Linked DNA regions of Sus scrofa. The protein of the gene in region 1 purifies or fractionates together with the protein of each later gene. This does not show direct contact. Links are inferred from orthologs where the notes say so. Each region holds a gene or a part of one and is shown on either strand. Other genes may lie near its edges.

Evidence for each region. Proteins that work in one complex are often made in the same cells at the same time.
Region 2: the proteins of VAPA (region 1) and OSBPL11 purify together in Homo sapiens (co-immunoprecipitation; 4 studies listed by BioGRID and IntAct, counting the BioPlex papers as one, with this or other methods). This does not show direct contact. The link is inferred for Sus scrofa from reciprocal best matches to the Homo sapiens genes VAPA and OSBPL11.

Annotation. Positions count from the first base shown.
Region 1 is NC_010448.4:98,250,160-98,257,510, forward strand, and holds the start of VAPA (vesicle-associated membrane protein-associated protein A), read right to left. Parts: upstream 4,114-7,351; 5' UTR 3,873-4,113; coding exon 3,794-3,872; intron 1-3,793. UniProt on the Homo sapiens protein: Endoplasmic reticulum (ER)-anchored protein that mediates the formation of contact sites between the ER and endosomes via interaction with FFAT motif-containing proteins such as STARD3 or WDR44.
Region 2 is NC_010455.5:134,715,985-134,723,220, reverse strand, and holds the start of OSBPL11 (oxysterol-binding protein-related protein 11), read right to left. Parts: upstream 4,871-7,236; 5' UTR 4,028-4,870; coding exon 3,831-4,027; intron 1-3,830. UniProt on the Homo sapiens protein: Plays a role in regulating ADIPOQ and FABP4 levels in differentiating adipocytes and is also involved in regulation of adipocyte triglyceride storage. Weakly binds 25-hydroxycholesterol. Interacts with OSBPL9 to function as lipid transfer proteins.

The DNA.
Region 1 (7,351 bases):
TAACATTCAAATCCAGAGAGGCAAGAACTAATTAGTATGTGATCTAAAGCTGATTTTAAGTCTGATTTAAACACAGACTTGGGTGTGTACCAATGTGTGCAAAGAGAGAACGAGGAGAAAGAAAAGGCCTCAAAACAAGGAGAGTGAACAAGGAAAGTTCAGAGTGAGACAAAACTGAAACCAAATCAGAATCTCAGAAACATTAGTATTTAAGAAAAAGGAGGTGACAAAGGAGATGATGAAGAGAGCAAGAAGAAAATTAGAAAACTGTGTTACAGAAGTCAAAGGAACCAAGTTTTTAAAGAGTAACTATCTCAATAATGCCAAGTGCCAAAGAGGGTCAAGAGAGACAGAGACTGGCAAAGAACACAGTGCAATCAGTAGGTAGTGAGGACAGACAGCCATCTCGGGAACAGAGAAGAGGCGCCGGACACAAGGAACTCAACTCCTTTTCCAAGAAGTCTGGATGCAAAGGAAGGGACGTGCAGGGAGGAGCTGGGAGTCCATGAAGTGTGGTGTTTGCTGATTTGTTTTAAAAATGAAAGAGGGAGTTCCCGTCGTGGCGCAGTGGTTAATGAATCCAACTAGGAACCATGAGGTTGCGGGTTCGGTCCCTGCCCTTGCTCAGTGGGTTGACGATTCGGCGTTGCTGTGAGCTGTGGTGTAGGTTGCAGATGCGGCTCGGATCCCGAGCTGGCTACAGCTCCGATTTGACCCCTAGCCTGGGAACCTCCATATGCCGCGGGAGCGGCCCAAAGAAATAGCAAAAAGACAAAAAAAAAAAAAAAAAAATGAAAGAGTATGTGTGTTTTTACATTTAAAGAAGAAGCCAGAGGTTGAAGACATGACAGAAAAAACACCTGATGGAGCAGGGTCTGAGTCATGAAAGATTTTTACCTTAACCAGCAAAAAAGAGCTATCAAGCCTGGAGAAGAGATGGGTTTTTCCTTCTCAAAAGAAAGTGTGGATGTGAGCAGATGAAAGGTGTTACAAGAGGAGACAGCACATGACAGAAGTGCTCACGAGCTACACTAAAATAGACTGTCATCCAGTGGGCAATTGAAAGCTCCTTAAAAACTGAAGGAATGAAACAGTAAGATGACTTCTATGTCCTGGGGGGAGGGGGTCACCTCAGAGGTCTAATGGGGCCACTGTCTAATAGGCATTACCTGAAAATACCTCAACACATGCCAAATACCACCAAGAGGAGGAGCAGTCTATACCCTCACTTGGGCCACTTTCGAGCACCGTGTTGCTATTCGAAGGTGCTTTGGCTGACACACCACGTGTCCCTTGTCCCTCAGAGAGCTTACTTCTCCTTACTGATTTGTTATTGTTAATGGGCCACCTTTAATGCAATGGTTTGGGTCTGTTTCCCTCTTTCTCTAATCATGAGGTGGAAGAAAATATCCACAACTTATTTTCTAAACCTTCTTCTCCAAACTTTCCTCCAAAACTAATAAAAGGCTGAAAAAAAAAAAGTTGTATAATACAAAGGAAGAAATTTTATGATCAAAAAAAAAAAAAAAAGCAAGAAAGAAAGGAAAAGTCTCTCACATGTAAGTACCAAATTTCAAATCTGAATTCTAGGTCAAATTACTGCCAGGACCAAAAAACAGAATTTGAAAATATTTACCTCTTTTTCTTTACTAATTCAATAAATGAACTACTTTAGAATTCTTTACATTATTATTAAAGTACTTTCATAAACAACTGTATAAAACAATAAACTTCCAAATAAAATATTGTGGTATATAGAAAACGTATTAAGTTGGTATCAGCTTCTCCACAATTGGGCAAAGTGGTGATAATTCATATCAAGATAACTGAACATGAACTGCATGGAACAGAAAAATTCACCACCCAATCACAGAAGGATTAAATCACTCATTCTTGGAGAAATCACCTTAATCAAATGTAGTCAAAATAGTTCAAATAAACCTACCAGAAGGTGACATTCTGAAAAACTATCCTTTGACTTTTGCTTAAACTAAAAATTACAGGTGACTTAGGGCAAAATTAAAGGCTTTTTCTCTCTTAAAGAAGACACTGTAAGTTTTAAATGAGTCTCCTCACTTAATGTTGAACTGCTCATTAGAAAGTCAAAGCAAATTATTTACCTTTGACTAAGACAACTTTTAAGAAGCAATCAAATGACACCAAATGTCACTTCCTAATTCATCCTACCCCTCCTCTTTCCCAGGCCTCCCCATTACCCACCTTAAACTGCACACAGCAAACCACTAGGTATTTAAGTATAAGTCAACCTTCTCTCACATCCCTGGAAGAGCAAATCATTCCCTTCCCCAGCCCTCCCCCTCCTCTTCCCCATTTGAAAACAAGCTTCCTAAGCAAGGGCAGGGGAGGAGGAGGAAGGGACTTCTTTCCTCATGCTTGCTCTGCATCTATTACAGCATCTATACGCCTTCCTGTCTCCTTCTAAGATAAAACATAACACATTTTACTGTTGTTGACTGTGCGTTTTCCCCATCAAACTACAAACTATGGATCTTTTCTCCACCTTGCTTAGCTGATACCTCTGGAATAAATTACTCCTTGTTGAGTATCTTAAACATAGACATGTCACCAAGCTTTTAATAGTGTTTACTAAACAACGTGTCCCTATAAATTCCTCAATGAAAAACTTTTTTAAAAAGTCAATTGATGTCCAAACTTTAAAAGGCCTTGTGAATTACTTTCATCCATAACACAAGAACAACCTGTTCTATATCATAGCCAATAATTCTTCAATATCTTAACTAGGTTAAATATATTTTACGTCACTGTGTAGAGTCTACGATTGTTTTTTTAACTTACTTCTCTGTTACTAATAGTCTCTTACTATGAAAACATTACAACTGTGAAAGTGTCAAACTCTAGGAATATTTCCTGAACTAAAACTCATGTTAAAGGCGTCTAAGCTCCTAGCGGCAATACACACAGGTTATCCAGGAGAAGAAACTTCCTCTGTAAACTCCGCCTGCCAAAAAATCAAAGCAAAATACTTAAATTCTCGAAAGAACACATACCACACACTAAACTCCTCCATCCTAAGTTAACAGTTATTTGAGTTGGGTCATTTCATGATTCCCCAAAGGTGTGTTTTCTTTATCAGCGAAAACCATGTAAAATCAGGCTGCACACACAAACTTGCCACAATAAAATGTACTTTATTCCTCTCAAAATACTTCGTGGGGTTGTCTTAAGATCAATTCCTTACCTAACAAGCAGCTCCCTGACATTTCCATTCAAAGAAATTTGAAGACACTGAAGAGCTTGCAAAATAAGGCAGTTACACAACACGGCTGTCAAAACCCCAGAACGCAACACTTTAGAATTCCTGACTACCCCAAACGTCTCCCAAGGAAAACCACCTAATGGCTGTTCTCCAGGACGCAACCCTGCAGGGCAGTAAGGCTGCTCTTTCAAGCCCTGGAACGGCCACACCTGCATGATCCCTGCGCTAGTCCTCGGTGCGGGAACTCAAGTCCCAGATACACTGTCCCGCAGGCGGGGTTCGCTTCCCGGGGGAACCGCTCAGAGCCGCCCCCTCCAGCCCGCCCGCGCCCCGCCCCGCCCCGCCGCGCCCCGCCCCGCCCCGCCCGACCCAGCTCGGCCGGGCCCAGCGCCACCGCCGCACCGAGGCGCCCGCGGGCCGCAAGATGGCGGCGGCCTCGCCGGGCGGGGGGCGGGGGCGCGCGCACCCGCGCGGGAGGGGCCGTGGCGGCGGGGGAGGGGGAAGGGGCCCCGGGCGCGGCCGCCACCCTGCCCGCCCGCCTGCCCGCCAGCCCACCTTTGAATTTGAGGTCTGTGGGCGGGTCGAGGACCAGGATCTGCTCGTGCTTCGCCATGGCCCCGGAGGCGGACGCCATCGGAGAGACAGCGGAGAGCGGGGGCGCGCCCGCGGCGGCCGGTCGGTGGCTGCGGGCGGGGGGCGGCGGCGCGGCTCGGCCCGGGTCGACGCGGGGCCAGCGCTCGGCTCCCGAACCCGACGCCCACCGCTGTGTCGCCGGCTCGGAGGGCCGCCCGCCGGTCCGCAGCTCCGGGTCTCACAACTGACTCAACCCCACACCAGCCGCCGCGGCCGCGCGCACTGCGATCCTCGGCGCCCCACGTGACGCTCCTGCGTGCTTACGTGCGCGCCCCTGCGGCCGGGAACGTCTCGCGCAGGGCCTGCCCTCCACGCCGGCTTGGCGCGCCGCGGACTGCTGCGCTTGCGCGCCACTGGCCGGGCCAAGCTGGACGCCCGGCCCGGCTGTCAAGGGAGCGGGTGTGGACCTGGGCGGAGCTCGGCTCCAGGGCACCGATGCGGCGCGCACCGCAGGGCAGCAGAGCGCAATCCTCGGTCACGTTTAACTGCGATTACGACAGCGAGGAACCTGCTACTGCAGTGCATCACTACCTACCAAGTTGGAATGCCTAACAGCAGAAGGCGCAGCAAGGCTCGTTGACTACAACTCCCAGCACGCTCCGCGCGGGGCAAGTCTCCGCGCGGCCTGGTCCCCCTGCGGCGCTGTACAGTGCTTGCCGGGAATTGTAGTAGCTGCTGTGGGTGGCGGGAAGGAGAGGGGTCCTTTAAAGGCAAAGGGGATGGGGTGCGCTAAGACTCACTTTGGTTCTCGGAGAGCGTCTCCATCTGCGCTAAAAAAAGAGAAGTAAGAACTTTTGGAGCTCGACCCAAGGTTCACCTGGTTAGAAATATAAACTATGCCTTATGAAAAACATGTGGGGATCTATCATTTTGCTAATTCTCTTCATCCCTTCCTCGGTAGCCAGAATTCCCAGTCGTTTTCCAGTCCGAACTCTCCTGCCTCCTCAATTCTCTCCAGTGATGCGAAAGCCGAGGAAGAAACACACCTCCTTTAAAAAGCAGACGCGTCGTTGTGGATCTGACGAGGCACACGTATCAAACTGGAAATAAAAGTCAAAATCTGCAGCGTTCGTTGCTGTAGTTCTGTTCTTCAGTTTTGACTGGTAATGATAAGCCCAAACCAAAACAGTGGTCACGTTCACAGGTTGGAAACGAATTCTGTCTGCATCATTACGGAAGACTGGTAAACCGAACCAAAGGGGGAAAAAACCCACAGCCAAGTTGCTGACCCATCTTTAACCGATTGCCAGCGTAATCATGGGCAGGAACATGAAATGTGCCATAAGTAAATCGTTATGCTACTGCGAATTTAAATCCCTAGGAAGCACCACAGAACAAAGGACAAATTGATGCTGCCATGAAGGAGCAGCCCAGTCTGTCTAGAAAGCAAATGAGGCAAATGGGACGATGGCCTAGGCTAGGCACAGTGTTAATGTTTTCACTGCGGTCCAGGTATCAGCGCCCCTCTAGGAAGAGCTTTGCAGAACAGCTAACCTAGCATCACACTAGCCTCTGTTACAGGAGGGTAATGCATCTCCGAAACTTTGGAGGATAGAAGCACTGAAATATTCAAAAATCATGTGTAAATTTACATCTCCTTTGGTTACCTTTTATCCACAAAGTTACTTTGAAATTTCAATTATAAAGAATACAAAAATTACCCGTTTATCAAAGGAGGGCTTAAGGTTAAAAAAACAAACAACAAAAAGAGACATTGAAATTGACAGTAGCTCCACAAGATATTGTCCCTCATATGTTTAGTTTCGAGGTGTATCCAGATTGTTTTTTTTTCTTGCCTAAGAACTCTTATCTGTGGGAAAGTTAGCCTGGCTGGACTGGCTCCTCTACAGCCAGATGGACACTTCTCTTCCCAGCAAGCATTTGGGAAGCCCAGTTAGCAGGCCCAGCATGCTGCAGGTTTGACCAAGCTCTCCCTGTGGGACAATGGCTGTGATCATGATCAATTCAGGACGAAACCTAAATTGGATGTATTCCAGTTTGTACATCTCTGTCATTAAGAAACCTCTGGCTGCTGCAGTAATCACCTTTGGAGTGAACTTTTCTTTTTGCTGTATGGCTTAAAAAGTCATCTACGTAGAGTCTAAAGACTAAGGAATCTACATATAGGGTAGTCTAAGAATATACAAAACTACTTTGGAATAATTCCATTACTGTTTTAGAGCACAGCATTAATAATGACTCAGAGTCCTCCAGAATCTCCTACCCATCCTTAAATAGTGCCCTATTTTTTTTTTTAAGGCAACACCCTCGGCCTATGGAAGTTCCCAGGCGAGGGGTCAAATTGGAACTGCAGCTGTGGGTCTATATCACAGCCATGGCAACACCAGATCTGAGCTACATCTTTGAACTACACCATAGCTTATGGCAATGTCAGATCCTTAACCTGTTAACAGAGCCAGGGATTGAACCTGTGTCCTCATGAGCAATAGTCGGGTTCATTACCACTGAGCCACAAAGGGAATTCCCAAATTGTGACCTATATAAGTGATTTTTGCTTTAGTGTTTATTAATACCTTTCTTCTAACAGTTCAAAGAACATAACAAACATCCACAAGCTACTCAGAACAACCTTATAACATCAAGTGTTACTTTTGTTGTTAAATATGGAAATGAAAACAAAGGCGAAAGCATCCCATGTCACTTAACAGAGCTAGACTGGTGGGCAGGAGGAGCTGCCAATTTTCTGTACATTTTTGCTGTCCCCCAGCCCCAATAAAATGATGCCTGAAAGTGATTAAGACAACAGTTTTTAATGTAACTGACATCTGTTTTTGGAACAGAGAAACAAGGCCTGATGTTCACTGCTCTTTTTACATCGATTAATGCAGCTACATAAATATCCCTTAAGGTATCAGCAAAAAATATACACAAGTATATTTCTCTAACTCCCACGTTTTCGTAAGAGTTACAAAGTCCTTGAATATTACTTCAACCTGCTCGAATCATTAATAATGTTCCCCTTTGCACAGATTATCTCTTATGGATTTGGCAAGAACAATGAATTTTTTTTCAAAAAACCGCTAATTTCCAGTACAAGAGGTAACAAACTATAACCAACTTCTTCTCCATAGCTAAATGTGTTCATCTTTACTCTAGAGGTACTTTATAATTACAAATTTGTTTACACTCAACTCTCTGCTTCATTCAACTCAGTAAACATTTAAATGAGCATGCTTTCAACAAATATTGAGGAGGTAAATTGTATAGGGTACAGGCTTTGGATCTGAACTGCTCTATTCAAGTACCATTTTCTGCTGTGTGGTCATAGTAGCTTCCTTCACCGCTCTGTGCCTGTTCTGCATTTATAAATTGGGGAGAATAAGAAAACCTGTGTCCAAGGTTTGACGTGAGAATTAAATGACTTCTACACAGGACATACTTAGAATAGTGCCTGGTTCCAGCCCTATGACCTTATCAGTGTTAAATTATTGCTCTGCCTGGCATGTGGTAGGTGATACC
Region 2 (7,236 bases), on another chromosome or scaffold:
TCCTCAAGTTTCAGAGAGAGCTGATGAGGCCAAGGAAGAAAATGAGATAATAAACAGAAATATGAGCTTAAGTGAAGACGATGATGTATCCCTCCAGCCTGTAAAGGAAAAGGGCCAACCAAAGAAATGAGAAAGGAGCAATTCGACAACTGTCAGAGGAAAAAGGAGAAACCAAGGGAAAGTAGTATCAGAAAACCCAAAAAAAGAATAATAACAGATACACATACACATTATCAATTAGAATAATAATCTAAAAACATTCACTACTTTTTACTCATATCCTTGGTAAGGACAGAGCCAACTCTCACGGGTTGGGCAATAAATGAGGGTTAAGGAAAAGGAGGCAGTTGAGTGTAAACTACTATTAAGAAGAAAAGATTTGGGGAGTTCTCGTTGTGGCTCAGCAGTAACAAACCAGACCAGTATCCATGAGGATGCGGGTTCAATCCCTGGCCCCACTCAGTGGGATTAGAGTCTGGCATTGCCATGAGCTGTGGTGTATGTTACAGACTCCGTTCAGATTCTGGCGTTGCTGTGACTGCCATGAAGGCCAGCAGCTGCAGCTCCAATTTAGTTCCTAGCCTGGGAACTGCCATATGCCACAGGTGCAAGCCCTTAAAAAAAAAAAAAAAAAAAAAAGGATTTAGGTTGGTTTTTATTGTTGTTGTTGTTGGTTTTGTTTGTTTTTTTTTCCCCTCTTTTTAGGGCCACATCTGTGGCATCCTGAAGTTCCCAGGCTAGGGGTCAAATCAGAGCCATAGCAACACCAGATCCAAGCTGCATCTGTGACCTACGCCTCAGCCTGCACAGGAATGGAAACTGCATCCTCATGGTATCGTATGAGTAGGGTTCTTAACCCACTGAGCCACAATGTGAACTCTTGTTTGTTTGTTTGTTTGCTTTTTCAGGGCTTCATTCGCAGCATATGGAGGTTCCCAGGCTAGGGGTCGAATTGCAGCTACAGCTGCCGGCCTATGCTACAGCAATGCCAGATCCAAGCTGCGTCTGGGACCTACACCACAGCTTACGGCAACGCTGGATCCTTAATCCACTGAGTAAGGCCAGGGATCGAACCTGAACCTGTGTCCTCATGGATGCCAGTCAGATTCATTAACCACTGAGCCACAACAGGAACTCCCTGTTAATTTTAAAGTCTATAGAAACTATGGGCCTCAGAGGAAGAAGCCAGGTAAGAGGGGCAACACAGGACAATGGAAAAAAATTATTTGATCAATGTCCTAGAGGACAAAGGAATAAATTCGACCGAGAGGTGGGATGAATGATTAGCCTTGAAGACTCCTCATTTAAGTAAAAATATGTGTCAGTACGTAAACGCAATAATGCATTATGCATACTGACGCAAAGACTTTGAAAAACTTACGGTTTCCAAATGAGACAGGTTGGGGGGTTGGGGGATGCACTGAGGGTTTGGGATGGAAATGCTGTAAAATTTGGTTGTGATGATTGCTGTACACCTATAAATGTAATAAAATTTATTGAGTAATTTAAAAAAATAATGCATTATACATCTGCATCTTTGGGGAAGAGTTCCATATAACTGCATTTTCCAGATCCTTAAGCATCTTTCTTTTTTTTTTAATTTGAGCTATTTTCCTTGAAACTGTTCACCACTATTCTCCAAAACAGACTGCTTTCCTGGATGACTTAAGGTTATTGCAACTATGATTACTATTCGAGGAAGTAATATGGCTGAGTCTGCATGTTAATTTTTCACATATTTGATTGTCCTATGTTGTCAGTTGCCATTTCCTGTTACACTTCCCTGATACCTTTTTTATTTATGCTCCCAACAGATTCTAGTTTGAAAATTACATAACCATTAAGCAATACTCTTAATAAGGGATAATATGGTCCTGAATCAAAGTACAGGAGCAAAGGGTATGGCTTTATGACAACTCTCCCCAGTATTAAGAAAACTGTTTCACTTTTCAATTCAATAAAGACTGGGTTAATTCTTTAATTCAAAGAACTAAAGATGTCAGAAGACTGATCTCTGACTACATGAAATATTACTTTATCTTGTTTCCTTAAGTCACATTAAAATAACCCTGCCAAATTACTGACAATTTTATATAGTTAGACTTAAACCACAAAAACACATCATGTATTGCAAAAGTGAGCAGGCGTTTCTCAGTAACTAAATATATTTTAATCGCTTACCTATAATAATTTACCAATAAAAAGTTATATTCTTCTACATTGTTTCTATACGTTAATACGTCAAGCATATTTCACATATATGGATATTATTCATGATAAATGTATACAGCCTTTACAGAATCTTGACTTTAATCCCTTTCAAATTTCACAACTACAAAACAGCACACAGGCAGTCAGTTAACCAAAATTTAATTTATTCCTGTACTTCCAATACCATGGCATATTCAATTTCATTCATTCTTAAGAGTCTGAATAATCCAGCAATTCTACTTCTGAGTATTTTCTGAAGAAAAGGAAACCAATAACTCAAACATTCACTGAAATATTATTTATGATGTTCACTGCAATATTATTTACAATAGTCAAAACATGGAACCTAAGTGTCCATCAAATGGACAATGATGAATGGATAAATAAAATGTGGTATGTGGTATACATAAAAAATGGAATATTATTCAGCCATAAAAAATGAGGAAATTTTGCCATTTGCAACACATGGAGAGACCCTGAGGGCATTATGCTAAGTGACATCAGTCAGACAGAGAAAAGACAAATACTGCATGATCTTGAAAAAGAATGGATGTGTGTATATGTATAACTGAATAATTTTTTTGTACAGCAGAAATTATCACAGCATCGTAAATCAACTATACTTTAATAAAACTTCATAAAATGAAAAAAAATACTGTATGATCTCACTTATATGTGGAATCTAAAAAACAAAACAAAACTCATTAATACAGAGAATTACATGGGGGTAGCCATAGGGAAGGATGACTGAAATGAGTGAAAGTGATCAAAAAGTACAAACTTCCAGGTATAAAATAAACAAGTCCTGGAAACGTACAGTATGGCAACTATAGCTGATAATACTGTTATTATACAGCATTATTACTATTTGAACGTTGATAAGAGATTAGATCTTAAAAGTTCTCATCCCCCCAAAATTGTAACTATGTGTGGTGATAATGGTAACTAGATGTATTAAGGTGACCATTTCACAATACATACAAAATATCAAATCATTATGTTGTACACCTGAACCTAATACCTCATATATTTCTCAATTAAAAAAAAAAATTCTAGGAGTTCCCGTCGTGGCTCAGTGGTTAACGAATCTGACTAGGAACCATGAGGTTGCTGGTTCGATCCCTGCCCTTGCTCAGTGGGTTAAGGATCCAGCATTGCCTTGAGCTGTGGTGTAGGTTGCAGACGCGGCTCACTTCCCTCGTTGCTGTGGCTCTAGCATAGGCCAGTGGCTACAGCTCCGATTAGACCCCTAGCCTGGGAGCCTTCATATGCCGCAAGTGCGGCCCTAAAAAGCAAAAAAAACAAAAAAACAAAAAAAACCCCAAATCAAATTACAATATAGGAAAAAAGAGGAGTACAGCATCAAATCAGAGTCAAAATTAACTCCAAAGCTGTAGAGAAAGTCCAGAGAAACATTTCTGTGTTCTCCAAAGGGCCTTCAATAGATACCTGTTGAATGGACAAATGAATTAAATCTTGCTAATGAAAGATGAGACCCCAGATCCAAACGAGATGTATCTGTTACCTGCGGAAGTCAGTGGATAAGCTTTACCCTTCAACAACTGCAGGAACTCGGGGTCCAACACACCCCCACCCTCACCTTGGAGAAAGGGCCATACCTGTACTGCCAGCCTTTGGCACTGCCACCTCTGCTGCTGCCGCTGCTGCTGCTGCTGATTCCACCCCCACAGCTGCTGTTGCTGCTGTTCTTGTTGGGGGTCACCGCGGTGGCCAGGCCCTCCAGCCTTCCTTCGCTCTCTGAGACTTTCATTGTTGACAGTGGTTCACCTCCCTGCATCTTAACTTCAAAGTCCATTTGCCCCTCTCGGGCGGAGAGAACAACTCTGTATGGTAGTTTTGTAAGTGGTGAGATTTAAGATTTGATCTGAAGGTGATCCCAATTGCCAAATGAGACGGTGGCTGGAGTAGGAACCATCAAATAATCCAGGGAACGAATACAAGCATTCCTCGTGAAGGAAAACTTTTAAGAGGAGAGGAGTAGCGATGAGAATAGATGTCCTTTAAATAGATGTCTCCTTTCGGGCAAAAACAAGGAAGAAAAAAAAATCACCCTGCCCGAGGACTTGGTGGCATGCTCAAAGGAGAAGCAGAAGGAGCGTGGGGAGGTCGCGGACTCCAGCCAAGAGGGCTGGGAGGAGGACGGGCCACGGACCGGGACTCGCGGCCTGACCTCTGGGCTGACAGACTTGACCCGCCGCGCTCCCTCTTCTTCTCCAGCCGGTCCTCAGCGGGAAGGGCCCCGTCCACCCCTCTCGGCGGTTCCCGCCGCAGCCCCCAAGACTGAGCGGGAGCAGCCCGCGCGCAGCCGGGGAGGAGGGTTGGGGAGGGAGGCCGCCGGGGGCGGGACGCCGGCTCCCAGGGCTACCCTGCCTCCGGCAAAGGCGAGCCGCTCGGGGCGACTTCCTCCAGCACGCTCGGCCTCGGGCCCTCGACTCGGTTCTCAGGGGCGGACTAGTCCCTCACCCTCTCCCCAATCCAAATGTGAGAGCCACAACGGCGGCCGCCGCCCCACCCACAGTCCCACGGTAGGTCACCCACCCGCCTGCTCTCTCCCCGCCTTCCCTTCCGGAGTACCATGAGCTCACTTCCCTCAGAGCGGAAGCCCTGGGCGCCATCTTGGAGCAGGGCGCGCAGCCCTGAAGGGGGCGGAGCCTCGGGGATAGCGGGGCCTGGGCGGTGGACTCCAAAGGAAGGGCGGGGAGGGTGGCAGAGGGCGGAGGCAGGGGGACTGACGAAGAGGGAGAAGTAAAGGACTTAGCGCCCTAGTGGAGGGTGGCTTCCGGTCTTCCTAACCCGGTGCAGGCCTTCTGTTCCAGGGCCCATTCCAGCCATTTTAGGGAGAAAACTTAGAAAAATGTCATTTCTATAAGAAATTACAAAAACAGGGAGTTCCCCTCCTGGCGCAGCGGTAACAAACCCGGGTGGTATCCTCGAGGACATGGGTTTGATCCCTGGCTTCCATCAGTTGGTTGGGGACCTGGTGTTGCTGCGAGCTGTGGTGTAGGTCGCAGAGGCAGCTCAGATCCAGTGTGGTTGTGGTGTAGGCCCCCAACTGCAGCTCCAATTCAACCCCTAGACTGGAAACTGCCATGTGCTGCAGGTGTGGCCCTAAAAAGATTAAATAAATAAATAAAATTACAAAACCAAAAACCATCTATTCATTTTAATAATTTTACAAAAAAAAAAACCTGTGATATTGGCATAAGGCAAATCAGTGTTATAAATAAAAAAGCAACTGTTGGGAGTTCCTGTTGTGGCTCAGTGGGTTAAGAATCTGACATAATTTTAGTGAGGATGCAGTTCCATCCCTGGCATCTCTCAGTGGGTTAAGGATCTGGTGTTGCCGTGAGCTGTGGTGTGGGTCGCAGACGCGGCTCGGATCCCGAGTTGCTGTGGTGTAGGCCGGCGGCTACAGCTCCGATTAGACCCCTGGCCTGGGAACCTCCATATGCCGCGGGAGCGCCCAAGAAATGGCAAAAAGACCAAAAAAAAAAAAAAAAAAAAAAAAAAGTGAGATATGGAAATGCTATAAAATTTGGTTGTGACGATCATTGTATGCCTATAAATGTAATAAAATTCACTGAGTAAAAAAAGAAAAAGAAAATAAGTGAGATGGAGTGGAGAACTTACCTTAGAGAAAACAGTTGAGAGGAGTTACCTGACATGGCGCAGTGGAAATGAATTCAACTAGGAACCATGAGGTTGAGGGTTCGATCCCTCGCCTCAGGATCCTTCCTTGCCTTGAGCTGTGGTGTAGGTCCAAGATGGGCTCATATCCTGAATTGCTGTGGCTGTGGTGTAGGCTGGCAGCTGTAAGCTCTGATTCGACCCCTAGCCTGGGAACCTTCTTATGCTGTGGGTGTGGCCCTTAAAAGCAAAAAAAAAAACCAAAAAAAACAAACAAAAAAAAACAGTTGAGGAAAGTTATCTATGAGGAGATGATATTTATTTATTTATTTGTCTTTCTAGGGCCACTCCCTCGGCATATGGAGGTTCCCAGGCTAAGGGTCTAAACAGAGCTGTAGCCGCCGGCCTTTGCCACAGCCACAGCAACGCCAGATCCCAGCCGCCTCTGCGACCTACACCACAGCTCATGGCAAGGCCATATCCTTAACCCACTAAGCAAAGCCAGGGATCGAACCTGCAACCTCATGGTTCCTAGTCGGATTTGTTAACCACTGAGCCACGACGGGAACTCCGAGGAGATGATATTTAAAGTGAGAGATTAAAGAAAGGCGAGGAAGCTAAGGAAAAAGCTAGCTTTACTTATTTGGGGACAAGAGAGACGTGGGAGGAAATTCTCTTGTGGTGCAGCAGGTTAAGGATCTGGCATTGTCCCAACTGCGGTGCAGGTTCAATCACTGGCCCAGGAATTTCAGCATGCTGTGGGCGAGCCAAAAAAAAAAATAAAGAAAAAGGATAGAGACTAACCAGCATTGGTTATTGGGATGTGGAGAAATTGAAACCTTCATATACCACAGGTAGAAATCTGAAAGGTGGTATATCCATACAATGGAATATTATTTGGCTATAGAAGGAATGAAGTGCTAATATATGCTACAACAAAGATAGATTTCAAAAGCATTATGCTAAGCACAAGAATCAAGACACCAAAAGCCACATATTGTATGATTCCGTTTATAAAAAATGTCCAAGATAGGCAAACCTATAGAGGCGGAAAGCAGATTAGTGGTTGCCAGGTGCTGGGAGGAAGGAGGCATGGAAAGTGACTGCTAATGGCTATGAGGTTTTTTGAGGGGTCATGAAAATGTTTTAAAGTTAGATTAGTGATGGAGTTCCTCTGTGGCTCATCAAGGTTAAGAACCCAGTGTTGTCACTGTAGCAGCTCAAGGCACTGCTATGGCACGGGTTTGATCCCTGGCCCAGGAACATGCCATGGGCACAACCAAAAAAAAAAAATTTAAATAAAACAAAATTATTTTGGTGGTGATAGTTGCACAATCTTGTAAATATACTAAGACCTACTTAACTGTATGCTTCAAA